4 linked regions of the Alligator mississippiensis genome follow. The protein of the gene in region 2 interacts with the protein of the main gene of each other region in a biochemical or structural test. Links are inferred from orthologs where the notes say so. Each region holds a gene or a part of one and is shown on either strand. Other genes may lie near its edges.

Evidence for each region.
Region 1: the proteins of MAPK1 (region 2) and TNFRSF1A form a complex in vitro, tested with the Homo sapiens proteins (2 studies listed by BioGRID, with this or other methods). The link is inferred for Alligator mississippiensis from reciprocal best matches to the Homo sapiens genes MAPK1 and TNFRSF1A.
Region 3: of the proteins of MAPK1 (region 2) and JUN, one has a biochemical effect on the other in vitro, tested with the Homo sapiens proteins (2 studies listed by BioGRID, with this or other methods). The link is inferred for Alligator mississippiensis from reciprocal best matches to the Homo sapiens genes MAPK1 and JUN.
Region 4: of the proteins of MAPK1 (region 2) and GAB2, one has a biochemical effect on the other in vitro, tested with the Homo sapiens proteins (2 studies listed by BioGRID). The link is inferred for Alligator mississippiensis from reciprocal best matches to the Homo sapiens genes MAPK1 and GAB2.

Annotation. Positions count from the first base shown.
Region 1 is NC_081824.1:254,190,708-254,197,632, reverse strand, and holds the start of TNFRSF1A (tumor necrosis factor receptor superfamily member 1A), read left to right. Parts: upstream 1-3,907; 5' UTR 3,908-4,069; coding exon 4,070-4,108; intron 4,109-6,925.
Region 2 is NC_081833.1:15,153,397-15,161,218, reverse strand, and holds the start of MAPK1 (mitogen-activated protein kinase 1), read left to right. Parts: upstream 1-4,800; 5' UTR 4,801-4,968; coding exon 4,969-5,111; intron 5,112-7,822. UniProt on the Homo sapiens protein: Serine/threonine kinase which acts as an essential component of the MAP kinase signal transduction pathway. MAPK1/ERK2 and MAPK3/ERK1 are the 2 MAPKs which play an important role in the MAPK/ERK cascade.
Region 3 is NC_081828.1:13,377,648-13,384,010, forward strand, and holds JUN (transcription factor Jun), read right to left. Parts: upstream 1,509-6,363; 5' UTR 1,508-1,508; coding exon 545-1,507; 3' UTR 517-544; downstream 1-516. UniProt on the Homo sapiens protein: Transcription factor that recognizes and binds to the AP-1 consensus motif 5'-TGA[GC]TCA-3'.
Region 4 is NC_081824.1:464,867,231-464,875,111, reverse strand, and holds the start of GAB2 (GRB2-associated-binding protein 2), read right to left. Parts: upstream 3,022-7,881; 5' UTR 2,998-3,021; coding exon 2,926-2,997; intron 1-2,925. UniProt on the Homo sapiens protein: Adapter protein which acts downstream of several membrane receptors including cytokine, antigen, hormone, cell matrix and growth factor receptors to regulate multiple signaling pathways.

The sequences.
Region 1 (6,925 bases), on a different chromosome or scaffold from region 2:
GAAAGCAAAGGGGAATGTGGAGAGGCTAATATGAAGAACTGTAGGGCTTCAACTGAACTTTGATCAGCTCTGAAGACTGAAAAACTTGATGAGGATGAGAGTGGACCTATTCACTTATGAAATGACATGAGGAAACCTGGCAAAGGCTTTTTCCTTTGGGGACTGACTTTTTCCCCATAGGTTTTATTAAAAAGCACATTTGAGGTTTTGTTCCTGGTTCCTGGGGAATGATCTTTGTTTGGTCATGTTTGACAACCCTTCCAGGAGCAGGATACTAATCGCCATTGTCCCCCTGCTTTCCTTGTGGTAAGTTAGGTTGCAAGATAGCATTGATTGTATAGTTTTATTAAGGGGTTAGACAAGGATTTGTATGGGATGTCAGGCAGGTGGAAGGACTAGGTGAACTCCAGAGGCCCCTTCCAGCCCTTCTTTTCTCTGATTCTGTGTTCACACAAGGAAACAAGCTAAACAAAACTAGACATGTCTTTTCCATCTCTAAAGTCAGAACTGGCTGTCGCCTAGCAAGTCTCCTGGCTTTTTCTTTCCTGTTCAATATTACAGAAACTCTGGGGCTGAAGAAGCAAAATTATCTCAAGTTTGAGGTGAAGAAGGAGGAATTATTATACGATGCATAGTGATGATAACTTTTTGTCTTCTGCACAGTGTTAGTAGCCCCTATCTAGTAAGTGAGCAAACCTTCTATAAAGAAAATCAATGAAAAGGTGCCTTGACTTAGTCTAGAAAGGTTTAAATGCCTGAATTAAGTGTTAGACTTTTTTTTTTTCCTCCAGATTTCAGTATATGACATGTCCATACTTACAATATTCTCATGTCTAGGTAGGATCAAGTTAGTATTTTGGTTAATGGCTTCACAGGATTTCTGATTGCACTACAAAGATAATTGTACAGGGAAGACCCTGTTCCTCTCTCGTATTGTTCACAGGCAAGGAGTTGCTGCTATGAAATTTTCCTCTCCAGTCCTGCTGTGTGGTTTTGGGAGATGCAAGCAGAAGATTCTCGTGTGCCCTTGAGAAGCTACGTGTGCCCTTGAGAAGCCAAGGGGGCAGCAAATGAAATTCATGCAACCTTTTGAATCTCAAAAGAAGAGAGCTTTAAAGCAAAAATGAGGGCAGGATCCTTGTCCCAAAGAATTTACAAATGTAACGGACAGCAAGCAAATGAGATTCCATTATCATTTTTATCATACTGTTTTCACGTTATTTTTATTTCTACTCATCTCAGTCTTTTAAGGCAGGTATTAAGTAAGGTTGATCTTGCCTGGAGATATTCTAAGTGCTTTTAACTTTTTATTTTAAACCATTTTTAGAAGTGCACCGATATATTGGTGCCATATTGGATTGGCACCGATAAAAGAAAAATTACCATTATTGGCTATTGGCTTTTTTTGGCCAGTGTAGCCAATAATGTCACCAATAAATATAATATTGGGCCTCCAGATGCCACGTGCATGCGCGCAGTCACATGGCCAAGAGTGCAGCCAGGCGGTGTGGAGAGCAGTGCCCTGCGGGTAAGTCTGTGGAGGGGAAGGGGCATGGGGGGGGTAGATTGAGGTTACCACAGTGAGGGAGGAGTGGGGCAGGAACTCCAGCCAGGGGGGTGAATGGGACCTGGGGCAGGGAGCAGGACGAAGCCACAGGTGGCTCGTCCGGGGGGCACGGGGACATGGGGGTGGCTCCCCACTGCTGTGTACACCCCCCTGGGGGAGGCATGGGGAGGGCATGTGCCCCCCAGATTTGTGTGTGGGGTGGATGCGGACTGTCCACTGTGGGCTTAGGGCTCTCTGCTCTGGTGCCTTTGCGCTGGGGGCTCCGTGCCGGCCATGCATCTCCTGCCCGCTCAGCAGTAGTGGGGGTGGTGAGTTGTGCGTCTCTCTGCCAGGCGGGTAGGGGATGCACGGCCAGTGCGAGGCCCCCAGGGCAAAGGCAACAGTGCATTAAGCCCTGAGCCCACAGCGAGCAGCCTACATCCACCCTTGCCCTTCTCAGCTCCACTCCCATCAGAAGTGTACCCGTGCTTAAAAATGGTGGTGGTGGCACTCAAACTATGAGCTTTAGTTCAAGTACCCCCACCACCATTTTTAAGCACTAGGATGCTGATCACCTGGACAAGCTGCCTACGCTGGCCCCAGGTCCCATTCACTGTCCTGGCTGGGCAGTGCCCCCAGCCCCTGCCCCCACTCCCTCCCTCCCTCACCGTCAGGGCCTCGATCTGCCCCCCATGCCCCTTCTCTCTCCTACACCTCTTCCACTCCACAGACTTACCTGCAGAACGCTGCTCTCCACGCTGCCTGGCTGCATTCCTGTAAATCGGTTATCTGATCAGTACTAGCTGATATGGCTGGTTAATAGTCAGCTATCGATATTGTCCAAGAAAATGTTTATCGGTGCACCCCTACCATTTTTGCACCATCAAGGCAAATAGATGTTAATTTTTTCTTGTTTCCCCTTTTAATGTAACCACATTGCTAAAATATATTAAAAGGTCAGCAAGACTCAAATCTTAGAAAATCTTGAGAAATGTGACTTTTTATTACAGTTTGTTTCATATCTGCAAGTGAGCACTTTTTTCATTCTGTGATCCTATAGACCACTACTGACTTTTCTTTAGAGCACTCCATTTTCCATTATTAACAAGGCTTACTCAGTTGGATTGTTATTAAATTAGTAATGAATTAATTATCAGCCAAAGCTCTGTTTTTAACACACAACCTTAAAAGGGATGGGAATAAGAAAATGAAAAACCCAGCATTTATTGCCACCTTTAAGTTTCAAAGTGTTCTCTAAATTCATGAAACTTGCACTTTAATACCAAACCTTAACTCTGATAGCAGGATCAGTTGCATAAAACCCTGCTGGTGTTTCTTACTATGGCACAGTCCATTCATTTACAGTTAATGTCTACTTGATCATTGCAGAGGTGATGATCAAGGTTGTGCATTAGAATATATTGTACTTGCTTCACAGTGTTTTGGAAAGCCTTCGTGACCAATAATTCGGAGAAGACTTCTTGTTTTTAAATGCAGGCTGAGATAATGGAGAACAACATGACATCCTTAAAATGCTGCGTCACTGAGTTGAAGTAACCTAATTCTCATAAACCCAGGCACTTTTCTGTACTGAGGTGACGCTCAGTCTGATGGATGTGAAGGGTTGATGGAGTTTTGTCCACAGTTGCATGAGAGACAGTTGACATCTTTCAATAGCTTATAACTCTTCCCAATCTGAACAGATTTTCACGAGACAAGGAAACTACATTTTCCATGACTATCCCTTGTTAAACTCCAGAGTCTTGCTGCAAACAATTGAGGTAGTAGCGCTGTTAAAAAGTAGTATCTTCTTTTTCTGTCATTTAAAATGCAAAGTAACCAAAATACAGAGCTTGCTGGTGATCCCCTTAATAAGAATCTTTTAAAAAGTTTCTGCGTGGATCGTTAATATAAAGAGCACCATCTGCCGGCATATTGGGATTTATAGCAATAGGTCAGAGTTGGTTGTGCAGAGTTCTTACACTTCAAATTGTTTCCTGATTACAGCTTTGGGGCTAGCTCATGGTCCTTCTCAGCCTTGATGAGTGGGAAGAGTTAACAAATCCTGTGCTCTCCTAGAGGCAAAGGGGTGGGTACTTTTTCTACTCTTCTGCTCCCCCTCTCCAAAAAAAAAAAAGCTGCTTCCCTGGGTCTCCCTATGCCCTAGGGAAGAATTGATCTGAGGTAAGCTTAGCTGAGGGACTGGGTCTCTATCTCATGGGGGAGGGCAGTGTGAATGGGGGCAAGTGCTGAATTTCTGTCTCACTGTGCTGTGGAACACGTAGGGTTAAATTGGATGGTGGGGGAGGGGTACAGTTTGATATTGCCTCCCATGTTTCACCCGCCCTCTTTCCTGTTTCTGCCTCTCTTGGTTTGGCAGGAAGTTGCAGGCACTGATAGTTTCGATCTGTCTCACTCCTTCTGTGAGTCCCGTGTTGGAGTGGGAGGCCTTTTCTGGGTCTCTAGACTGGGAGGCTTTTCAGGACACGGGGATTTTGCCATGGGGACGTAGATCGCAGGAGCATGGCCCCGCTGGAGCCCTCAGTGGGCTTGGTTATTATGGTAAGTGAGGGCTTGAGAGAGGCTGACTTTAAGGCTGAATCAGAGCTTGCGGGGACCAGGGTGGGGGGTGTGCCAGGTGTGGAAATGGCGCTAGGTGTGGGAGGGTTTGAAAAGGAGGTGGGAGTCAAATCTCCTGGGTCGTGTTTGGAGCTGTTGTATCTGGCAGATTGACAGGGAAAAGGGATGTCAGGGTTGTTTGAGTTGTATTTCTGCCCGTGCCCTTTCTTCGAGCCCTGTCTGTCTGTGTGTTGCCGTTTCCCTGTCTGTAGAAAGGGTAACTCAGTGGAAGTCACCCTCTGCCCATCTCATGGGGGCCCTTTGCTGAGGGAGCCTCTTTTTTGGCCTCTGCAGTGAGTTGTGATGGTCCTCAAGCTGGCATGCTTGTTGGGCAGAGGCTCCCTTACCTAAAATATCTTTGTAAAGTTTTTGTGCGTGCAGCCCTCTACAGCTCACCAAAACTCAGTAAGCAGCCCACCAGCCGAAATAATTCCCCACCCCTGCTCTAGAGTGTACGTTAGTAACTTGTTTATATAGCCATGTGATAATTGGATAAAAGGAAACCTAAGAGAAATTGAAGGCTTGCACTATGTTTCTTGAGGTGCTGTCACTTACCTGGATCCTGCTTTCCCTTATCTGCTCACCACAGGAAAGAACACTTTGCTCAGCAGTGAGGGAGCTTGCTTTTCCTGAGGTTCCCCACTTGCCTCCACAACCCTTTAAGGTGGGGGTGTCAAACATTAGGCCCCGTGGGCTGGATGAGTAGTGTGGAGCCAGTCTGCAGGCTGGATTGGGCCCACAGACTGGCCCTGCAGACCGGTTCAGGGCAGGCACCTCATACAGGACGCATGCTGGACCCTGTCTGGCACACACAAGATTTGGCCTCATGCCATATGCAGCATGTGGGACCGATCCAGCATGCTCCTCATATTGGCAGATGGGACCTTTCTCAGACCCACAGGCAGCACCCTGGCCCAGCTGATAGAGCTCCGCAGGCCCGATCTGGCTGGCAAGTTTGATCTTTGACACACTTGCTCTGAGGTCTCTGATTTCTGCTGGAAATGCAGTGCTGAACTTTCCTGTCAATGCTCACAGTTCTAGTGCCTCCACTTCCATGGATTGTCCTGAATCCAGTACCTTTTCCCAACCCCTTCTTAGGCCTAGTCCCCTTTCCTTTGTGTCCAGTGTTCTGCAGCAGCTCAGGTCTCCTTTTATCCATTTCTCCCTCTTGTATCTCCTGTTCTTCCTCCCCATGTATCCAGTGCCCCCCAAGTACCACTCCCTAACACCCTCTCATTCCCCTTTCAAGCATAGCCAGTGCCCTCTACCCCACCATGTGCACCTGGTGTCATTTCCAGTCTTCCTGCTTATTCCTGTTAGCCTGATAGTACTGCATCTACTGAGCACCAAAGTGCAATGCTGTTCCACTTCTCAAGTTCTTGAAAAATAAGAGAAAGGTGAATGGGTTCTCCTCCTTCTTGCTGCTCTTTTCAGATTTAGTCTGAAGTCTAAGGCAATGGTGTGTTACAAAGTTACCCATGTTCATGTTTTTCAGGAGCTTGAGCAGTGTAGAATAAAATTACACTTGGGCACCTAAATGGTGTTTAATGATGGTCTGGAATCTGGCCCTGTGTGGCTGTATAAGAGTAAACCATTTACTTAGAGACCTTGGGGTAGGAGGTGTGTTAAGTGGTCTCAGGGATGTTTGCAGAAAGGGAGGGAGAGGGTGTCAAACTATATTTGGGAGTCTTCAAGGAGCTTGCCACTATGGATGGGACCATTCTCAGACCCACAGGCAGTACCATAGGCCTGTGGGTGGGGGAGAGGTCTGGTGTAGGACTGCTGTGAGGGTGGTGGAGTGTGTACGAGCACCAGAGTCTTGGTGGAGTGTGTCAGAAGTACTCTTCAAGGCCTGTGCAATAGTGAGGTGACTCAGAGGAGTCAGTAAAGGATGAGTTTTATTTCTTAGCTCTAGTGGCTTCTTCATGGCTAAATATTGAATAATGTTTTGTGAAAAAAGTGAATCCAGGGGTTACTGTAGCACAAGGTTCTCAAGCCAGCAGCTGCCATGCACCTCTGCCCCATCCCTGACACAGCAGCAGCAGATCATTTCACAAGCTGCTAAGCTGCTTCCGTTTGTTCCTGAGTTCCCAACTCAACAGGAAGGAGGCTGGACTTACTGGAATGGCAGCACTTGCTTCTGGGAGTTGCAAGTTTGAACATTTAACCCCGGAGGTGCTAAGATCAGCTAGGAGCCTCTTACACCTCTAAAGGGTTAAGGGGTTTCCTTCCTGCGATTTGATAGTTTCATAGTAGCTAGGGTTGGGAGGGACCTGAACAGATCATGGAGCCTGACCCCCTGCCACAGGCAGGAATGAATGCTGGGTTCACAAGACCCCAGACAGGTGATTGTCCAACCTTCTCTTGAATTTGCCCAAGGTAGGGGCGAGGACCACTTCCCTGGGAATTTGACCCCACGCACCTCCCCACTCTTATAAACTACCCTTGTAAATGTGGGGGTTGATAAGGGTCACTACTGACTCAACAGAGAGACGGCTCTGTTCTGACTCACCCATGGCCCTCTGTGTAGTACTCAGTTATTCAGGGTTTGGTGGCAATACTTGTTTTGCGCTGTGAGGAATCCGGCTCAGGGGACATGTTATTAAAATAGAGAGCCTTACTACCAGCCACAATCATTTAAAAATTGCAAGTGAGACCTTCCCCACAAAACCATGATTTTTTAAAATCTAATACATTTGGGTTCTTTTCCTTCTGGTTTTAGAGCCGCCAGGCTTATTTTTGCAAGTCTGAGAGGTAGAA
Region 2 (7,822 bases):
ATAGCAGGTAATTAAGCTTGCTGTTGACAATAGTCCTGTGCTTGGTAATCTTTTGTTTTTCTTTAAAGTCATACAGACAAGCAAATGTAAAGGTCTTTTTACCAGTTATGATCCTGACCCTGCTTTTATTGTACATCTTCAGCTCCCACTGAATCAATAGGCACACTGGATGGGGAAGGAAGACAGCAAAACGTATAAATAGAACACTGGGAAAACAGTTAGACTTTGGCTAACCTAACCAATATTGGGTGTTTTACTTAAGTATGACAGGAGGAGACAGACTGGCTCAAGGTATTCTTCTTTATGCTAAGTTCACTTTTACATTGTTAAAGCAGAGTGAAGTAGCCTTAGTTTAAATAGAAATCAAGAATGGGATTTTCAGTTCTAGGTCACCAGCTTAAATTGAGCCCAGCTTGGTAGTGACTAAAAGTTATTAGCATCTGATGCACTTTTGTAAGTTTTAGGATTGTTCCCTGTGGATCAGTGCTCACATCTAATCTATTTAAGCTTTTCTATCACATTTATCACCATGGTATCTGAGTGCCTTACAAGTTAAAATATATCTTTTTAAAGTATCTTACATATTTTACATTTCTCTCCCTTCGCCCCCACACACAGGTTTGGGGTGTTTTGAATAACCTGGGGAAGGTTATGTAAAATCCATGCCATTTCTATTTTGTTCGGAAATCTGGGAATTTCATGGTCTTTTTGAGATGCTCTAGAAATGGATTCCAGGCTTCTAAACCAGCTGCCAAGAAAGCTTTGTTCCTTGTGCCTCCCTATAAATAACATCACCTCCAAAATGCTGGCAGCCTCAGGGGCAATATTGATAATTCTGAATGAATACAGAGATGGAACTATGCTTTGCTGCAGGGCTCAGGAATGGGGTAGGGTGGCATGTTGCTGTTCAAACTGTACCCATTCTGTGGATAAACAGAGAATGGTCTATCCTGGACTGACAAACTCTTTCAGTAGTGCATTTATTTAACACAAAAAAGTTAGCAGTTAAAATGGCTATGGGAAAACGGGCAAAGTTAAGATCATCTAATCCTACGAGAAGCCCATCTTTAGAAGCCCTGAACGTAATAGGGAAACAAAGTTAGTCCACGCCATGACACATTTAACTTGACTGCTTTAATGATTAACCTTTTCTTTCTGTGCCTTTTTAATAAAGATACAGAATCTTGCAGGATATGACTGCATCTGTTTGGGGCACAGATATTTTTCTCCTGCTTCCAGGTACTGACTTTTTGTTAAAAATACCCTCTTTAAGACTGATCCTGCAGAGACTTAGTCATGTGCTTGACTTCAGGTCAGGGACTTCAGTAGCCCTACTGAGTTCCCCAGACTACTCTTGCTTAAAGCACATGCAGGGGCAGGGCCTCAGTGTCACCTCATTAACCTAAATGAGTGATTTTGAATTAGCACGCAATGTTAGCATGGTTAGGGGTGCAAACATGATTCACAAGATTAACTCAGAAGTATCAAATCGGAATCCATCCTGTTAAAATCATCCTGACTAGTTGTGGGTTTTCAGAGTTCTTCAGAATTGCTCTGTTGTATTTCTACAGTAAAAAACAAACAACTGAGAGCTGGCACTTTCTGAGAGCTGCCTCAAGTCTGAAAAAAGGTTGACAACCACTGACCTACACAGAAGGATCCAATGTGAACTACACGGTAGTGAAAATAAATGTGCAGAATAAAATGCATGTGATCCCATCCATATCATGTCTCTCTCAGTAAGTACAGTATATTGCTTCATGAAAACATAACAATCCTGTGCAATAAAAATATTTTCTATAGCAAGCATATCTTCTGAGCTGCTAGTTTGTTTTTAATTGGACCAAATATGCACTTGAATGCATGTTCAGGTTGAGCACCATTGTACACTCAGAGGGGTTAGCCATTTTTTTCATACTTTACTCATCTGCCTGATTGGTTTCTTTATCAATTTAACATATCCAAATTAAAGTGGGAAATATACTAGGTGTGCAGTAATTTAAATTTTGGAGGGTGGGGGGGTATAAAACTGGTTTGACAGGTTGTGTTTAAGCTACATTCTCCATAATCATTTGTTTTGCATTGGCTGATAACAGATTTGTGTATGTATTCAGAACTATAAGCACACATTTATTTTTAAAGGTGTTGAGAGCCTTTTTGTCTTATTTTTATTTACAGTTTCAGGAATCTGAAACATTTATTCACATCTGCTAATGCCTGAAATTTCTGAGAAAAATAATGCCAGGATTTTAAAGTAAAAGAAAAAACTGAAAGGAGAGTTTTAGATGAGGGGGAAATAAACACATGCAAAATAGCAAAGGTACATATTCCATTTAGATGCAAGCAGAATAAACCACAGAGTAAGTGGGTGCGTCAACACAAGACACTTAATGCATAGTAGACTAATTCTACTGTGCGTTAGTGTGTCACGGCAAAAACCATGCTAACGCAGTAGAACTAGCTTTCTGCACATTAAACATCAGAAAAAGATGGTGTGCTTTTGTTACCATGCATTAGTGCCAGCTACAGTGCATTTATGTAGTACCTCATATTGGAGGTACTAAACTTAATACACTGTAGCAATGGTGCATTAATGCTTTTGTAGACATGCCCAGTGGGTATTAAATGCAGGCTTTTCATCATGGGATATTGCCAGCTACATAGGACAGTTTTGACTCAATTTAATGGCGTTGCAGCTAAAATGGTGACGTACTAAGAACTCAAACATCAAGATAGATGCTCTAAATCAGGGCTCAACAACCTGTCTCAAGAGTCAGATCCAGCCTACAGACCCACTGGATCTAGCTTTGAGGGACATGGGGCTTTGGCAGCAGTGTCTCTGGTTGCTGTGACAAAAAGTGGCCATTGTGGCTAGGTCCAAGTGACCATCCACTCTGACCTGAACCGGGTCAATGTGGTCCGCAGCCTTAAAAGGTTGCTGATTACTGCTCTAGGTTGCTGTTTTGCTTACAGACACTGTAGTCGAAACAGAAATATTATTTTCCTCTTGGTTGCTGTCCATATGCTGAGCCAAATGCTTGGGGTGAGTGGCTGTTTAAAAGGAGAGAGAACAATGTGTTGAAATAAGGTTTAATGGCAGTTGGCACCAGCTGCTGAGAATAAGGTCTGTTTTGGCCCATGGGAATGAGAGCTGGTGTGGGGCAACTAGTAAAAGCAGAAGGGATGTGATGCTGAAACAGCAGCTGGAGACTGATTAAGTGCAGTGGCTAAAACAGAGCTCCCTTAAAGAGAAAAGACAGGAATTGTCAGCTGAAAGCCAAGTGTAGTGTGTAAGAAGCCTTGTCAGAGATCTGGACAGAGAGGGGAAAAAAAGGAGAAGGCAGAAGATGGAACTACTGAGAAATTAAACAGAGGATGATTACCTGCTGGCCTCCTAGTAGGGAACCATTAAGCAGTGCAGCCATGTTACTGGTGATTAAACAGCAGAAGAGCTTGCTGCTCTGGTCACCAGCCTTTCGCACCTCAGCCACAGGACGAAAGGTGAGACCACAGCGAGAATGCTGCGCAGAGGCATACCGACAATGCCCCAATTTGACAGCATACTCAAATGAATAGGGCATTTCAAGCAGCTGTGTAATGCAACATTAGCAGAAAATGAAATGGCAGTTTGGTTTGCAACGAGGCAGGCGTAGGATCTTCAAAGCCAAGAGTCCTATGGAAAATAACACAATGCTCAGAGAAGTGCAGCAAAAACTGAGAGAACTCTAAGGCCATTGTACACAGCCCCTGCAAACTTCCACATCAAATCAGGGCCATTTTCTTTACAGGCAAAACAGTAAGATAGACATTATTGCAACCAATGATCACAGGATGGTACAAATTATAATAAATGTGATGTTCACATACTTCTTGTTCTGAAGACAAGCTTATATTTAAATAATGTGAAAAACGAGTAATAGAAAATATAATTGCATACAAAGACAATGCTAATTAAAGGTTGCAAATCAAGTGCTGTGAAGTTCGGGAGATGCCAGAAGCAGAGTTGCTATGCAACTATAATTCAGCTCCTTTCCATTAGCATTGGGCCCACGAGGATCTGGGAGATCCTCTAATCTGATCTGCACTCACAGATGCAGGATTTTTCTGTTCTCAGAACCTTGCCCTGGATTATACCGGGAGTTTGCAGAAGGGTCAGGAGCACGACCCAGGTCTCTGGGTCCCAGGCGGGCGCATTAACACAGGAGAGCATCCTCTCTCCTCCTGCCGCGTTCGTTCTGGGCCTCAGCAGGCAGTGCATGAGCCTGCAGTCCAGGGGTGGGCAAGTACTGGGGCCCGAGGGCCACTTCGGGAGTTAGGTGAGCTGTCCCGGGCTGAGTCAGCACCGCGCCCCACCCCACAGTCTGCCCCCGATCGTGGCCCCGCCCCGCACTGCCACCATCCCGTGAGCCCGGCCCCAGCCGCGCACCCCGCCCGCAAGAGCAGGAGCAGAAGCAGGGCGGACAGACCAGGGTGCCCAGGCACCGGCTAGAAGGAGCTGCCACACCTCGGGCCCCTAGGAAGCGAGTCTGGAAACGCGCTGCCCTGCAGGATCACACCACAGCCCAGGGCACCCCCGCACACCGCACACCACCCCCCGGCGGGGGGCCATGCCGTGTTGTGCCCGCCTGGGCAGGGGGAGGTGAAGGCGAAGGCGGAGCGTGCTGGGCAGGCGAGACCACGCCCCACCCCGGCCACGTGACCCCGCCCGTCACGTGACCCACCCGCCGCTGCGGCTGTGAAGTTACCGCAGTGTCCTCGGCCCCGCCCCCTCCGCGCGCGCCCCGGCCCCGCCCCCCGCCCCGCCCCGCCCGTGCGCGCGCCTTCGGCTTCTCCTCACAGCGGCGGCGGCGGCGAACGGGGTCGGGTCGGGCCAGGTCCGGTCTTTCGGAGCGCACGAGCCGCCCGGGCAGTGCCGGTTACCGCGGCAGCAGCGTTTTGGTCGCCGCAGCGGCTGCCGGCGCGGACAACATGGCGGCGGTGTCGGGGGCCGCGGCTGCGGGCGGCGCCGCCAATGCGGGCGGCCCCGAGATGGTGCGCGGGCAGGCCTTCGACGTGGGGCCGCGCTACACCAACCTCTCCTACATCGGCGAGGGCGCCTACGGCATGGTCTGGTGCGTGTCCCCGCCCCGCCCCGCCGGCCTGGCCCAGCCCGGCCCGGCCGCGTCTCCCCTCAGGACGGGGCGCGCCCAAACCTGCTCCGCGCTCCCCTCCCCGGGCGCAGGTGCGAGGTCCCCGCGGCTCCGCCGGGCTGGGGCTCGGCCCTGGCAGCCGCGGGAGTAACCTAGGGCCTGCGGAGCCCGGGCCGCGCCCCAAGCCAGGCGGCCTCGTCTCCGCGGGGGGCTCCACGGTCCGCTCCTCGGGCCTCTGCCCGTTGCAGGGCCGAGTCCGCCGGGCAGAGCAGGCCTTGGCCGGGGTTACTTGCTCCCGCGAGGCTGCCCCGGCTCGGGGCTCTGTGGGCAGCCTGGGTTGGTGCTTTCCTGCTGCCCTAGTGCGGATGTCCCCGGTGCAGGTCGGCCCGAAGCCCCCGAGAAGGCACGTTCATGCATTCGTGTTTGACACCAAGGCCGGGATGGTACTTCTGTGCATCCTCCCGCTTATTTTGGAAGAAGGGTGGGGGGTTGTCACAGGAACCATTTAACTTCACGGTGACAGGATATGTTTGGGTACTGAAAGGCTGCAAGAAGTGTCAGGAAGGATGCAGCCCTCTGGCAGTTGCATCCTTTTTTTTTTTTTTTTTGATAAGGCAAATGAGCAACCTTTGGTTAATGGGCAGAAGTAGGGAAAATGCCCCTGCCTTTCCTGTCTCTGCTGTGTTAAGGTGTCGCACATTTTTCCAAATGTTCAACTCTTCCATCAGTCCTAGGAATCTGAGGTTATACCTTTAATTAAAAAATAAATAAAAATGTGCAGCTTGTTGGTATTTTCTGTAAGTGGATGTTGGATTGTCTCTGTTAAGAATACTAATTCTAGCGGGTCTAGGGGGGGTGTCAGGTAGTATGAGGTGGTATGAGTGCAGGGTGTATCCTCCTTCTGGGCTTCGTAATTTAAAGCAGTTGCTCTAGGAAGCATTGTGGCTTTTATTTAATTGCTATTCTTTGGTACAGTCTCAAGTGTGAGAGGACATGGAACAAAGTCTGTCAGTTTATGTTGTGTACTTGAGTAAGAAAGCGTTGGATTGCACATGTCCTAGTGAGGTGCCATAGCAACTGCAGTATTTTGGTAGCGCATAAGACACAAGCTACTATGATTTAAATAAGATTACTTTCCAGTTACAGGAGTTACTGGTTGTACAGATTAATGCTAGATGTGTCATGGTTTGCTTTGCTGGCAAAGTTGCATGTGCAGTTCTCACAGTTCAAATCTGTAGAGGCCTTTTCAGTTTAAGGAGGCGGGGTGGGGGGGGGTTCTATTGCATTGCAAGTAGATTTATCTAACTTTTAATGAAGAGTTGTGGCTTTTCCAGTCAAGGAAGTCCAACTTAATATATTAAATCTGGCAATTGCAGTTATTTGTGTATTGTACTGTGTGGTTTCTTAGTGTGGAAATGTCAAGTGATTTTGACTCTTACAACTCTCCAGGGTATAAAGGAAAATATAGACCAAATAAGCCATTTGCTTGAATGTGTTCCCATTCAAGTTGTCTCTAATATGGAAACCCTTAGGCAGTCAAATGCCTGCCTTTATCTCAGTTGTCCATAGTTGGTCCAGGTTTTGAGTAGAAGCAGAAATTGAGTAAAAATACAATTATTACAGCACTACATGGCATAGTGTTCTCAGGGTGTCCTTTTTCAATATTAGAGCAAATAACGACTTTGTGCCTTGACTCTAGAGACCAGATTCTGTCTTGTGTTGAATTCCCATTGAAATATTGTGCTGAGAGATTAGGATATGTCCTTGTTCCTAGGACAAAACTCTAGGCTCTGCCTCTCCTGATGGTCTGTCGACGGGGGTTAGCCACTTCATAATTACTTTTTCTTTTCTCACTGTTTGTTTTTGTTCCTTTTACATAATAAAGACAATTATGAAAGAGAAAACATGGTGCAAACAACCGAAATGCGAGAGTTAACTAAAACCCTAATTAATTTCCAGGATTGAATCTCAAGCAATTTTGAATTATGTCCCAACAAATAAGAATATATATAAATACTGCATTCAGTCTAACGTACATAGTTGTTTTATCTAGTTTTTTTCATCTTTCCAGATATGCTCTCCATCTTAACTTTTTTTTTTTGGCTGGGTTAGTCATTTAACTGAATGTTTAAAATAATATTCATTTTTTGGAAAGGGATAGTTAATATCAGTGTTATGGGTTTTTTACTCTGCTTTTTAACCCATTGTTCCCCATCAGAATTTCTGCACGTGGAGTATTAAAGCAACAACAGATATAATACATATTTAAAAAAAAAAACCATAAGTGAATGCAACTGGACTAAATGATCAGATCTTGTACCTATCTCAGGTTCCCCATTGTGTCTTTCGAGTCATTGATAACATTGTTTAGCTACAGTATAAAGGTTAAAATAGGCTAGTTAAATCTTTATAGCATAGCTGTTCTTGATGTGAAATGACTCTTAATGGCAGTTTTGATTTTAGGGTGCTCTGCTTCCTGCTAGTTCCATCAGAATTGACCTTATGGGAGAAGTTGTGAAGAACTGTCCAGTTTAATTTTAATATACCTATTGTTCCTCTTGAAAAGCCTATTCATGAACTGATTTAAAACTGGAAAATTAATGAAGAAGCCACTTCCTAAAATAAGTATTTCCTCAAAAAGGTGAAAAATAGGAAACTTGATTACATTGATGTTTTTGTGGAAATGCAGAGCT
Region 3 (6,363 bases), on a different chromosome or scaffold from region 2:
GACCCCAAATAAACAACATAAAAATAACTTACAAAGTCATGAAGTAGTTTATTGACATTAATCAGCTTTCATAAAATAATAATAATAAAAAAAAGATATGTACATACACAAATTTAAGTGAAGGCAGGCAGTATAGTTCATTTTTTTTTTTCCTTATGAGCCTCCCACAAGCCTCCCTCCCACTTTTTTTTTTTTTCCTTTAAAGAGAGTACTACAGAAAGCAAACTACAGTCTCTATTGCAGTTTAACCTTTAATACTGAATGATCATCGAATGTTAGGTCCATGCAGGTCTTGGTCAGTGTTAAAACAAGAGATCTGAAGTCTCCTCGGAGCAGGCACAGCACTTCTCAGAGCGGTGCTGCTGGCTGCTTCACCCACTCGCTCGGACTGAAGGCTTGCCAGTCTTTCCACACATGCGCTTGGCGGGGCGCAGGCAGGACTCAATGCCTTTCAGCTTTTACCATTAGCTTTACGTGTCTGCCACTTCTGGGGGGTTTGTTTGCTCTACCACAACCTCATTAGTTCTGACTCGAGTCAATCTCTTCAAAACGTTTGCAACTGTTGTGTGAGCATGAGCTGGCACCCACTGTTGACATGGTTCATGACCTTCTGCTTAAGCTGTGCAACCTGTTCTCTGAGCATGTTGGCAGTGGATGCCAGTTCTGAGTTCTGGGCTTTCAAAGTTTTCACTTTTTCTTCCAATCTGGCAATCCTTTCCAGCTTCCTTTTCCGGCACTTGGAGGCGGCGATTCGATTTCTCATGCGCTTCCTTTCAGCCTTGATCCTCTCCTGAGACTCCATGTCAATGGGGGACAGCGGAGGAGTCTCCCCCGGCATTTCAGGGACAGTCTGAGGCTCTTCTTTCAACGCCTGGAGCCTGGGATGCTGCACCGGCATCTGGGGGTTCATGTGATGCTGTGGTGGCGGCGGTGGTGGCGGCGGGTAGCCCATGCTGCCCGGCGTGTAGCCGGGGGCCGAGGTGAGGGCGTTGGGGTTGAAGTTGCTGAGGTTGGCGTACACCGGCGGCTCGCTGTGCAAACTGGCATTGAACCCGCTGTTGCCGGCCATGGAGGAGACAGGTGCCATGCCGCCGCCGCCAGGTTGGGCGGCCGAGGTGACGCTGGGCACCGTGTTCTGGTTGTGCAGCTCGGCCAGCGCCCGCACGAAGCCCTCGGCGAAGCCCTCCTGCTCGTCCGTCACGTTTTTGGGGCAGAGGAACTGGGTGGGGGTCGGCGTGGTGGTGATGAGCCCGTTGCTGGACTGGATGATGAGGCGCTCCAGCTCGGGCGAGGCCAGCTTGAGCAGCCCCACGTCGGGCGAGGTGAGCAGGTCGGCGCTCTTGTTCCTCAGGTGCGGCTTCAGGGCGCTGGCGGGGTCGGCCAGGTTCAGGGTCATGCTCTGCTTCAGCGCCTTGGGGTTGTTGTATCCGTAGCCACCGCTCTCGGGCGGCGCGAAGGCGGCGTTCAGGGCATCCTCGTAGAAGGTAGGCTCCATCTTTGCAGTCATAGAACAGGGGGCCAAGGGCGGGCGGGCCGGCACCGGGCAGCCGGGGGGCGCGGGCCGGCCCTGGCCTCTCCCCTGCGGGCAGGAGCCCGAGTCCCGCTGCGCTGCGCTGCGCTGCGCCGCCGCCGCCTCCTCCTCCTCCGGCTGCTGCTCGCGTGTGTCCCGAGACGCCGCAGGCCGAGCCGAGCCGAGCCGGGCGCAGGGGGCAGCGCTGGCGGCCGCGCGTCTGAGCCCTTTCGCCGCGTGCAGCCCGACACTTATCAGCGACCAGTAACCCCCTAAAAATAGCCCATGATGTCACCCCGCGGCCTCCCCATTGGCTGCGGCCGCCGGGGGAGGGGGCGGGGCGGGCCGGTTGCCTACGAGCCCGTCTCCATGGCCACCCCGCCCCTCGAAGCTTCTCCTCCCGCGCGCGGGGCAAGCCGGGATGAGGTAATGCGGACCAGGTCGGCGCGGCGCATTGTGGGCTGACGTATTGTTTTCGAATCTCCGGTTGCCCGCTGAAGAGGCGCCCGAAGGGGGCGGGGCTTCCTTCGGAGGTAGATACCAAGCGGGGCGGAGGGGAGGGGGGGCACGGGGGTGACGCGGGGGATGATGGACTCTTCCCTACTCCCCCCCCCGCCTGGATGTATGGGACGGGCCGGGGGTTCCCGCGGAGGGGGTGGGGAGCGCGGTTGTCACGTGATTTCCCCCCTCCCCCCTGCTGCCGGGCAGGGTCGGGGGCGCCGCGGGAACAGTGCGGGAGGGGGCTGTCTGCTATCCCCGTGCACCCTCGTGTGCAACACCCTGGCACTGCTTCCCGTGCACCCCGTGTGCAACACCCCCGCACTGCTTCCCGTGCACCCCTTGTGCAACATCCCCCTGCACTGCTCTCTGTGCACCCAAGTGTGCAACACCCCCGTACATTACTTCCTGTGATCCCTTTGTGTAACACCCCCCGCATTGCTCCCTGTGCACCCCTGTGTGTAACACCCCTGTGCATGACACCCCCACATGCTGCTCCCTGTGCACCCCCATGTGTAACACCCCCCTGCACCATTCCCCATGCACCCCTGTGTGTAACCCCCTGTGCAGCCCTGTGCGTAACACCCCCTGCACCACTCCCTGTGCACACCCATGCGCAACACCCCGCATACAGCTCCCCGTGCACCCCCGTGTGTAACACCCCTGTACTGCTCCCTGTGCACCTACTGTGTGTAACACCCCCCGCACCACTCCCTGTGCACCCCCACGTGCAACACCCCCCCCACACCACTCCCTATGCCCCCCCCCCGGCACCGCTCCCCCATGTGTAACACACCCCGCTCTTGGCTCGCTGTCGCACTCCCTCAGCGCCCTCCCGCATTTAGGCTTGAAAGTACAGTTCAGGGCCTCGCCACGCCAGGGGTGGCTAAATCGGAATAAAAAGCAAAAAAAAACCCCTGGATTTTTTCTGTTGGCAAATGACAAAAATACACGCGCCCATGGCTCCACGTGGTTTTATTCATCTATGGATGCGTTCCTCGTGTATTCAAATGTTTTGAGTTTGTAAATTGGGGCGGAAATAAGGAAAATCCAGTTTTTTGTGGATTGTTTTTGTCTGACGGGGCCTGCTAACAGGGACGGTTATAATCGTGTCATGATCCCGCGTGGCCTTGGGCGGGGTGACGTCAAGAACCAGCCCCTGGCGGCGTTCGGGGTCAAGAACCAGCCCCTGGCGGCGTGCGGGGAAGGGGACGCGGGTCGGTCCCATGTGCGGCTCTCCTCCGCTGCCACCTTTCGGTGCCGCTCTCTGGCCATCGTAGAGGACAGTCCAGTTGTCCTCTATTGATATGAAACCGGACGCCTTTATGTCCTCTGTTTTTTCTCCAAGAAAAACATCAGATGAGAACAAGAGAGGACATAAAGGCATCGGGTCTTCTCAAAGAGAAAAAGAGAGGACATTAAGGCGTCGGGTTTCGGACCGATAGAGGACAGTGTAGCAGAAAAGCGGACTGTCCTCTATGATGGCCACCCTCGCCCCCGCATGGGCCTGTTGGACGCATGACGGGATGGCGGGTCTTGCTCTGGCAGAGCGACGGGGAAGTGCTCCAAGGGGGGTGCTGAGCAGAGCACACCAGACAGCATCGGCTGGCCCTCGAGCCACTGTGACAGGATGCTGGACTGGACGGACCTAAGGTCTGACCCAATAAATAGCAGTTATGTTGAGCCTTTAAAGGTTCTGGCAGTGCCCCCACAGCCAGGGCTGGATGAACCCTTTTGTAAGCCCGAGGCAAACAAGCTCATGGACCCCGGGGCTGGTCAAGACCCCTCTCCCCACCCTGGTGCTGCTGCCTGCGGGGAGCAGGGCTCAGAGCGGCCTCTAGGAAGCAGCTGCCGCAGTGGCGAGGCTGGCGGAGGGAAGGGGAAGTGAAGGGAAGGGAGGCGGACAGGGCCCTAGGGATGTGCCTAGTTTGCTTATGCATGAATCCAGCCCTGCCCAAAGCTTATAGGTGGCGGAAGGCTGGGGCTTAGCCCCCCCAAACTAATTTTGCAGCAGCCAGCGACAGCACCAGCACCACGGCACTGCTGTCCCACAGCACCCGGCGCTGCTCCTCCAGCACCGCGTACAGCACCAGCACACACCGGGTCTGCAATAAACCTGCAGGGGCGTGGGTCAGCCCCCCCACAATAATATTTATTCAGCTCCCCACAATAATATTTTTCCTGCCACCAGCACCACAGCCTGGTTGAAATCTCTGGTTTAAAAGCAGCAGATTCACTAAGTTGAGTCCAATACTCTTGATGCTGTGTTGCAACTGCATTGGTTCGGTATAAAGAAAATGCGCAGTCCTTCAAAGCAGCTTACGGGGCGAAGTTTCAGGCTCACTCTTGTACCTGTGAGCTGCCCTGTGGAGGTGAGATGTGTATGATGTAGGCATCATGTTGTGGTATGTTAAGGAAGGTATTATGGACTGGATAGTGATGTGTTTGAATATATTCTGATGTCCAACATTGGATCAGACTTTCAGGAATGCACGATTTAAGCAGGAAAACAGAGCCCAGTGTCATGGTGGAAGCTACTAAGCCACAGAGGTTGGAGGCAAGCCTTTTCGGTGAGCATGTCACAAATTAGCCCTCAACAGCCCCAGGTGCCACTCCTCTGCCTCATCTCATCTGCTGTTCTGCTTTCTCCTTCCTGACCTATCTGCTGCTGTGGTACCTGCCCCCTCTCACACCCACAGGTGACCCGTGTCATTTGTTGCGTGCACATGTTGGTCAACAGGAAAAGGAAAAGACAAAGGAAAAGAGCTAGGAAAGGTGGGAGAGTCACAGCAAGGAGCCTGGTATACCAGTCACCTGGCTCCAGTATATCTGAGAATGGGCTGAAGGAAAACAAGGATGGTAGAAGAAGGTTTTGTGTTTTGCAAACAGTCAGAGAGGCTTATATACAAGTCAGGGGCTAGATCTGATCAATTTCTGGAGCTCAGAAGAAGATGTAATGAGAAATCTAAGGGGATTAAACAGGGGTCCTTGGGAGTGTGAGTTAGTCTGTTGACTGGGACAGCAAGGAAGTCCTTCTCTAGCCTGGTTGTAAGTACAGGCAGTCCTCAGACTTACAATACAATTGGTTCCTGAAAACCGCGTCTTAAGTCGTAACGTCGTAACTCAGAACCGATTTTCTCATAAGAAACAATGTTATAAATGGGGGATTGGTTCCTGAACCAAGGCCCGATACCCTATTTTCACCAAAAATACCCCAGAATTTTATACTCGATCAATTATAGTTGAGTAATATAGCTACATTAATGTATTTATAACGTAAATAGCAATCACATTGATTTGGAAGGACTTCTTTGAGGTGACTTTGCTGGACATTTTGAAGGGCTCTTGGTTGGACTGTTTGAAGGGTTCTTGGCTGGAGTCTTCTTAGCAGTCCTGGCTGCAGGTTTTTCTGGAGTCTTGTCTGTTTTCTTAAAGAAAGTGTCCAAGGAAGTTTGGACAGACGTTCTCCAGGGAGATGAGCGACGCAGCAAACTTGTTCGCTGGTGTGGCGTCACATCAGTTCAAGCATTGTAAAGCCGAAACTGACATCAGAAAGTTGAAACAGGGTGTCAATTTATAAACGTTGTAAATGCAAAACGTTGTAACTCGAAACGTTGGAAGTCGAGGACTGCCTGTATTCAGATCGAGTGCTTGTAGCTGTAATTACTGTGTGAGTGAAGTCATTAATAACTGCTGCAACACTGCCATCTAATATACAGTTAGTTAGAAGGTTTGTCTAAAGTAACTGTATGACAGTTCTTGTGTTTGGGTTTGATAAAGGGATTTTAGCTCAATTACTGACATGGTCAATCAGATTCCAGCAGTTTGGTGTAATCGGGAGGATACCAGTCAGTAATCCTGAAAGCCTGTAGATGGAAGGATCATCATCTGTCTTTCTTAGGCAGCAAATAGTTCCTCTCCAGTAAACACAACAACTTACAGGACAACAGGGGTGGTACTGCACAGCAAAGAAATACTGGATGCTACTGGGAAAATGTTGGCATGTGATGGGTAATGCTTGAGAAATTTGAATGGGAACAATCCATGCAAAACTGGAGGAAACTTAGAGTTGCCATTCTGAGTAACCCCAAGTAGGAAAAGGCAGAAGTAAAAGCAATCATCCTTCAGGGCCTGCGTTTGGTACGTGGAGTGTACTACTACCCCAGGAGATGACTGTAAGAAGTATGAGAAATAACGTAAAGCTAATGAGGGAAAGATCAGCTTGAAGTTACACCTCCCTCCATGAGAGGATAGCGGAGTTGACATTTCTTGCATCTCGTGTAGGATTAGAAATTAGTGCCTGGGAAAAGAAGAAACTGAAGTTCAAGTTAAGGCTGAAGTGAGTAAGGTGAAGC
Region 4 (7,881 bases), on a different chromosome or scaffold from region 2:
ACCACAATGCCTGCCACTGAAAAACACACCTTCCTCTGCAGTGACTCAGAGTCTATGGATTGATGCACAGTGCCAGTTCATCACCAGTTAGGGCTGGAAAGGAAGGAGCAATGCCCCCTCCTGCCTTTGAATCTGGATGGCAGCAATGCAAGGCGAAATCAGGCTAGGGTACTGGGTTCAAACATCCCTCCCCCTCCCCCCAAGAGGGCTCCAGAGTTTAGATTTTGGGGTCCTTGAGGAAAGTGAGGCCACATGCAATGCAACAGGAGGGTGATCAAAGGTAGAGCGCAGAGGAGGGCCTTGGCTGCTGGGTTTATTACAGAGCCCAGAACAACCCTTTATAAGGGTCGAGGCATTTGGTTTTCAGACTCCAGACCTTGTTTATGTCCTCCTGGGGGAATACTGTCATTTCGTGCTAATGCAGAACCTTCCACCCAGGGGCTCTGTGCACGGCTCTGATAAGGTTGCTCAGAAGGGAAGGCTGGGTAAATGCTGCCACCACCTTTTACTAATGAGCAGCAGGGAGTAAGACATAGTAAGAGCGGAGAGCAACATTTTCAAAACCAGCCGGTCACTTTTGGCCCCCGGCTTGAAATGCAATAAGCCTGGGTTATGAAATGCCAAGCACTCGGAGATTTCCTTGGAATCCAAGCAGCTGTGCTTGGTTCTTCTGCAAATAACAAAATAATTAAAAAAAAAAAAAGTTAGTAGCTGCTTTTGGTATAGCTGGCCTAAGCGACTTATTCAACCTCCTGTAGGAAACCAGGGCAGGTATCAAGACTGTAATCCAAGTCCAAGTGACGGTGTTTCTAGGCACAGGGTATCTAAAGATCCCTTCAAAATGTATTTGCTGACAGCTTCCTGTATCACTTCCTATCTTGCACATGCTTGTAAGACATTCTGCATTTCACCCCAGATTCAGCTGCCTTTCCCTGAAGGTTAAAGGCATTTTCAAAACATAGGTGGTTTGCAAAGTACTTTGCATGTCCATCCGTCTGAAAGACGCTCTTATGCACATCAATAATTATCGTTAACCTCCAGCACGTCACACCCTCGTGCCTAACATTTAACAAATTTACCCGGCTCTTGTTGGAATGCAAGAGCACAAGCTGGATATTCACAAGGCAATGTGAGTGCTCTTTCATGGGAGAGACACTGAAGAGCTAATGACATTTGATGGGTTAAGGCCATTGGTGAGTCAGTGTTGGCAATTAGTTTATTTCTGTGGGAGGAAGGTGCTTTGCTTCATTAAGCTAAAAGCAGTCCCTTTGCTCAGTCTGTACCAGACACCCTACATGCAGACAGACATCGGATGCTAAAATGCTGTTGTTGCCTTGATCACAATATGCCTAGTGGGCAGGATGGGAAAAAATCCTGGATCCACCCGAGATTTGTTCTGTGGCTGTCTGCAAATTTCCCGGTTTCAGGAAGGTAGTTAGGGACCACCACACTGACAGGTGTGGTAATGGGAAGGTAATTAGATGGAGTCCCAGTTCTGGAGTAAGCAGATCCAGCACCCCTGAAGTCTAATGCCATTTATTGGAGGGCTAACTGAGTCATCACCTGGGATCTTGGTTTTCTCCCGATTTTTAAAAAATCCCCAACTTTTGGTTAAAAAAAAATAACCCCAAATCCACATTTTTCCATGAATAAAGTGAAATGCCACTCTCTCTCTCTGCATATTAGTGGCATTTCATATAAATCATGGAAATACATGGATTTGGGGTTACTTTTTTTTTAAACCAAAAATTGAGGATTTTTTTTAAATCGGAGAAAACCAGGATCCCTGGTCATCCCCTGCCCTGCCACCACTACCAAGTGGGATTGCTAGTATAGCAGAGGCACGCTGCAATGTTTAATCAAAGGTCTAGTGTAGCCTAGCCTAGACATCAGCCCAGCCCTACAGGCCCTAAGGCTTTCACATGGGGAAGTGACTGAACATAGAGCAAGTTTGCTGATATAACCCAAGAAGGAAGACAATCCAGTGCTCCCCCCGCTTCCTCCCACGGCCCGGCGGGCTCCGAAACACAGCAAACACTTATTTTGTTTGTTTGCCACCAGTCAGCAGATCTGTTTCCAACTTCAGCCAGGGAGCAGATCTGCTAAGTCAGAGGACAGCCGCTTCGTGCAGTCGCTTTTGAGAGCCGGGTTAGGCTTTTATGGCTTGGGATGAACTTGGAGGTCCTTGGACAGAGAAGGCAAAGCCGGAGTTACTCACTGGGTTGAGTCTGAAGCAGGGCCGGCTGTTTAGACAGTCTTTACAACCTTCAGAAACCTTTTGATCTCTGGCAACTGTCATGCCGGCACTGATAGCGCTCCGATGGCCCCGCTCTGTCTTCAAAGCATTTGGCCGAATGTTCAATAATTCATACTAATGATAAAGCGTGCGTGTGTGTGTGTAGCGGGGGAGCAGCGCAGGAACAAAAGCAAGTTCACCGAGATACAGAGCTGATCACTGGGGCAAAGGTGTCGGGAGCCGCTCTCCAGCAGAGATAAGGAGAAGCATCCTCTGAACTGGAAAGGGACACGGTGCCCGCGAATGCACCGAGACCTCCCCTGAGATTGGGAGACACCCACCCTGGGAGAAGAAATGCAGCCCTTTCCCTGGGAGGTCCCCCCCCCCCCCCCCACTTCGTTTCAAGGTAAAGCCCCTGCCAAGCCCGCAACTCAGGATGGGCACCTTCACAGAGGGCACTCGGCAGTGCACCCTCACAGAGATGCCTCCGGGACTTTCCCCCCTTGCACCAGACATTTCAAGCAGGAAGACGTGCATCCATCCCCTCCGGGGAGACCCCAGCCCGACCCTCTCCGCGCCCGCAGCGGCCCCCGGCGCTGCCCCGCTGCAAACCAGCGCCCCCTGCCGGCCGGCGCGCACGGCACCAGCTGTCCGCGGGCACCCGGGACGGGACGGGACGGGACACTTACATATCTCCGCAACTTCTTCTCCGGCGGCGACTTGCGCAGCCAGCCCGAGCACACCACCTCCCCGCCGCTCATGCCGCCGGCGTCTGCCCGCGTCTGTCCGCGCTGCCCCGGCTCAGCCCGAGCCCGCGCCCGCTCCGCCTCCGCCGCTCCCCGCCTCCTCCCCGCGGGGCCGGGCTGCGCCCCGGGCTCCGCCTCCCCGCGCCGACACCGGCCGGGCAGGTGCCGCCAGCTCCGCTGCACAGCCAGCCCCCGACAGCAGCCGTCCTGGGGAGCGGCCCGAAGCAAGCGGCGGGCTTTAGTATAGGAGTGACTTCAAAAAACAACAAGCGTCCGCATGGGGAAATGCTGCCTCCCATGGATGCCCCTTTCCCCGGGGCAAATGTGCTCCCCCCTGCACCTAAAGGAAGGGGCATCATGCAGGGGAGCATGCAGGGCGTGGAGAGCCTGCCCCAAAATACCCCCCAGCCGGACAGAAAAATAGGGATCTCTGCAGGAAATGCTGCCTGCCATGGATGCCCCTTTCCCCGGGGCAAATGTGCTCCCCCTGCACCTGAAGGAAGGGGCATCATGCAGGGGAGCATGCAGGGCGTGGAGAGACTGCCCCAAAATACCCCCCCGCCCAGCATCACAGAAAAGTAGGGATCTCCACAGGAAGCTCTGACTGGCATCAATGCCCCTTTCCCTGGGGCAAATCTGCTCCCCCTGCACCTGATGGGGAGAGACTGCCCCAAAATACCCCCCAGCAGGATAGAAAAGTAGGGATCTCTGCAGGAAATGCTGCCTGGCATCGATGCCCCTTTCCCTGGGGCAAATCTACTCCCCCTGCACCTGAAGGAAGGGGCATCACGCAGGGGACCGTGCTGCGGGGCATGGAGAGACTGCCCCAAAATACCCGTCAGCATCACAGAAAAGTAGGGATCTCTGCCGGAAGCTCTGTCTGGCATCGATGCCCCTTTTTCCCCAAGGCAGGCCAGGTTCTTTGGGTCAATTTTATTAGATTGATAGCTGGAAAAATTGTTCTTTGCAAGCTTTCCCCTTCTTCAGGCGTAGGGGGAGTCTGCAGTTGTTTTGTGCTCTCCTGGATGGGGTAGAAGGCAGTGTTTGCCTTTCCCTGTGGCAAATGTACTGCCCCCCCCCCAAAAAAACAGGCTTTCTAGACGCATCAGGCAGGAGGCCTTACTTGGCATGGCTAGATATTAGCAGAACTGCCCCCCCAAAAGGCCCTTGAAATGAGCTTTCCTGGGCTGGGGGGGACTGATAAAAACTGATAAAAGTGTCATATTCTATTATTGATTTCAAAAAAGGCCTCACAGAAAAGTAGGGCTGGCAAGGCCCTCCAGAGGGAACCCTGCCTGCTACCCGTGCCCTTCCCCGGGGCACATTATCCCCCCACCTCACTGAAGCAGGGGGCTTTCCACACACATCAGGGAGGAGACTGAGCCTGTCACTGTCAGACATTAGCAGAAAAATAAGCCCCCAAAATAAAGCCCCCTGAAATAAGCATTCCTGGGGGGAATCGATAAAAGCGTCATATTTTATTATCGATTTTTAAATCCTGTCGCAGCGCCCGCTCGCAGGGGGGCTCAGCCGCCACTGGAGTCTCGGGCAGACTGCCTGGGGATCGTGTTACAGGAGAGGGTGTCGGTGCTGGAACGGGCAGCCCGCTTTCAGAGCTGGAAGGATGGTCTGTCCCCATCGTCTCCCGGTTGAAGTCCCCATTAAAAGTCCCATTTGCAGTCGCCAGGAGCAGGCTGGGCCTTCCATCTTCATTATCTCTTCCCCACTCTCATTTATGAATTTTTAAATGGTCATAGATATGGTCACTGGAGAGGCAGTTATAAATGATTCATGGGAAGAGTGTGCACTGAGGGGCTCGGCCCTGGGAACGGTTCTGATCCCGGTTCTCTTGGTTCACCCCGTTTGCTGTGCCAAGTTACTGGCACAGAAAGGCCGTGACAGACAGGGTGCAAGGCTGGGATTCGAGACGCTTTGTTTTATTCTGTGGCTCTGCCACAATGCTGCTCAGGCAAGTCACGGCAGCTTGTGGTGCCTCAGTTTCCCTTTGCATCCTTTGCCAACTTAATGGGCAGGGACTGTTTCTCATCGTGTTTGGACAGCACCTAGCACAACAGGGCCTTCATGTTGGCTGGAGACTTACAAACAACCACCCTTGGCACTTATAAACACCTCTCACCCAGGGATCTTACATCACTTTAGAGTCAGTAATTAAATCTGATGCTGTCTACTAGAGATATGTAGGACACCCATTTCTCAGATAGGGAAACTGAAAGTAGGCAACTTCATTTATTCATAAAGGCTACAATGGTTGTAGACTTTATTAATAGTTAAGACAAAAATCCTACAGGGCAGGTTATGCTGTTTGTTAGACACTAACAAAAATAGGTTTTCAAGCTCCTAATGTTTCCTCTCCCGGGGACGAAACACAATCACCAAAAACAAAAAAGGGATTTTCCCCTTTCATTGTCCAAATCAATGGATTTTGGATGGGGCCCTTAAAGTCAACGGGAATCTTTCCAAAGACTTCAATCAGCCTTTGGGGCAGCCCCCAAATCCCTGAAAGTACTGCGTGCTAAGCAGTCGGAGCAATGAAAACATGTCATACAAAGTCATTACAGCGTGTGTGTTAATGATTCATGAGCCATACTTCATACCGATGGGGTCCACTGTAACTGCCTTTAAATGATATCACAAAGCCAGTCTGGATTTTTTATGTTAACAAGTTTCAGGGTTGATGCACACCATTTGTCATCATATACCATAGATTTATAAAAGGTTAGAGTGGGGACAGTCATAGAATAAGGTATTCAGCACATTTTGTGATATTTTGTGGATTAATTATCCCATTCCCTTCCACTGTTTATATCCAGTTTGCTCAGTCAATTAGATTGCAAAATATATGCAAACAGCACTCGAGATGCATGAATTTTTTTCTTTTTTTCGTTTTTTGCCCATCCTCCCAGAGAAAAGCCTGCAAACATACATCTCAAAGACGCTCGAAATGGCTGTCATCTCTCCACCTAGATATGTTAGCATCTCTAAATGAAATATAAGCCCTGTGCAAAAAATAAAAACCTGCACACTGGATGCAAAAATAAAACCCTCCAAGATCTTACTACCTGCCTGCCTGCCTCTGTGCTGTGACTCAGTATTGCAAGAGTGAGCCTAACACATAAATTTGGCATTGCATACATGCTTTATGAATTTGCTACATCTTTCAGGTATACAATCTCTATCCCAAAGTGCTTCATAGTGTTAGACAAGAAAAAGCTCACCTTATAAGCAAGCTGATCAGTAAAGGTATCAACTGGATACCCATATAAAATGAATCCACCTCTGACCTGACAGCATTTCCAGCCATGCTGCTCTTATAACAAACAACACAGGCTGCAAGCTGCCCTCCAAGCCAACAGTGAACCAAGCTCCTCCAGAGCTGGTAGCACTGGATCTGTAGAGGGCTTGAGCTAAGAAACCAGGAGCCCTAGCTGAAGACTCAAATAGCCCCAGATCTGCTGTGGGTGGGGAAACATTGCAACCAAAAAGTTACACAAAGCTTTGGAAAATCAGTGATCGCCTGATCTGCAAGATCAGGGTTTGCAAGAGAGTAATTAATAAGGGAGAAAACATGTGAGAAGGATGGATCTGATTCAATGCATTGCAGAGGTACAGGAAAAGTTCCAGAGATGGCTTTTCTAGCAAAGTCTAGGCACACTGCCAATAAGAATGAGACAGATTTTTCTTGTTTTTACCGCTGTCTTCAATTTCCTCCCGTGTTTTAAGTTGCACAGGAACTGAAATCGGTGTCTGGAAATCAGAACTTCTACGAAACACCACCTGGCTGATTTCTGCTTTGTGCTTTGGAGTTATTTGTGCGAGGAGCTGCACCATCTATTGGAGAAAGCTGGAAGTGGCAGGCAGAATAACTCACCTTATTCTCCATTGGGTTATTGTTGTTTAAGCAATAAGGATAGCAATGCAGGGCATTTCCTGGCACTTAAGGACCAGCTGGGCAAAGTACTTGGGGTTATACATCCAGCTGGTCATTAATCCCCAGAAAATGTCCTATAGGGAGGGTGCAATTGGTGGGATAAACCTATACGCATTGGAGGAAACAAGACTTAAAACTCAGCCGTGCTGCTCTATATGGTATTCGCCTCCTTCCCTGTTTTGCTCACTATTCACATGGCTCCCATTGCAGCATGAGCTGCATGCCTTACAGCCATTAGTGAATGCACCTTCCCCAAATACCTCCCTGGAGCAGAGCTGGGCAGGAAACATTTTTCCATCCCATTAACATTTTCAAGATTTCAAACATTTTCCCTGTACTGCAGTGGGTCAATCCCAGGACTTGCAAAATCTTTTGTCTCTCCAACAAGCAGAGCATTTCCCCTTACCTCCAAAACAGTCAACAGCCCAGTGCTTAGAGCACTCATCAGATACAGCAGATCTAAGTTTAAAGCCCACTCTATAGTAAAGGCTTGAACCTATTTCCCACGTAGCAGGTCTAACCACTAGGCTATTGCCTAGGCTGGAGTTTGCATTTTCTCCCAGAGCTGAGAAACCTTTCCCAATTACTGGCAGTGTGTAATTGTAATTGGCACATTCTCACAAAACATTTCAGATGAGATGACTTGGTGTTTTCTAATTAAAAACTTTTATTAGAAAAGTTGCAAGCAACTCTACTCAGGAGAAAAGGAAGTATTGGCCTGTCCTCACTGGACTGGAACTACGATAAAGTTACTATAACCATCCAGAAATGGAGTTATGATAGTGTGTCTAGACAGATAGGAGAAAGGGCACAGGACCTGGTTTACTAGAAAATTTAGGTGCCTATTTCGATTTTGAAAGATGCCTAGGGCTGAGACATCTAACTGCAAGTGAATTCAGTGGGACTTTTGGGCTGCTTTTGAAAATGTGGCCACTCAATATATGTCTGAT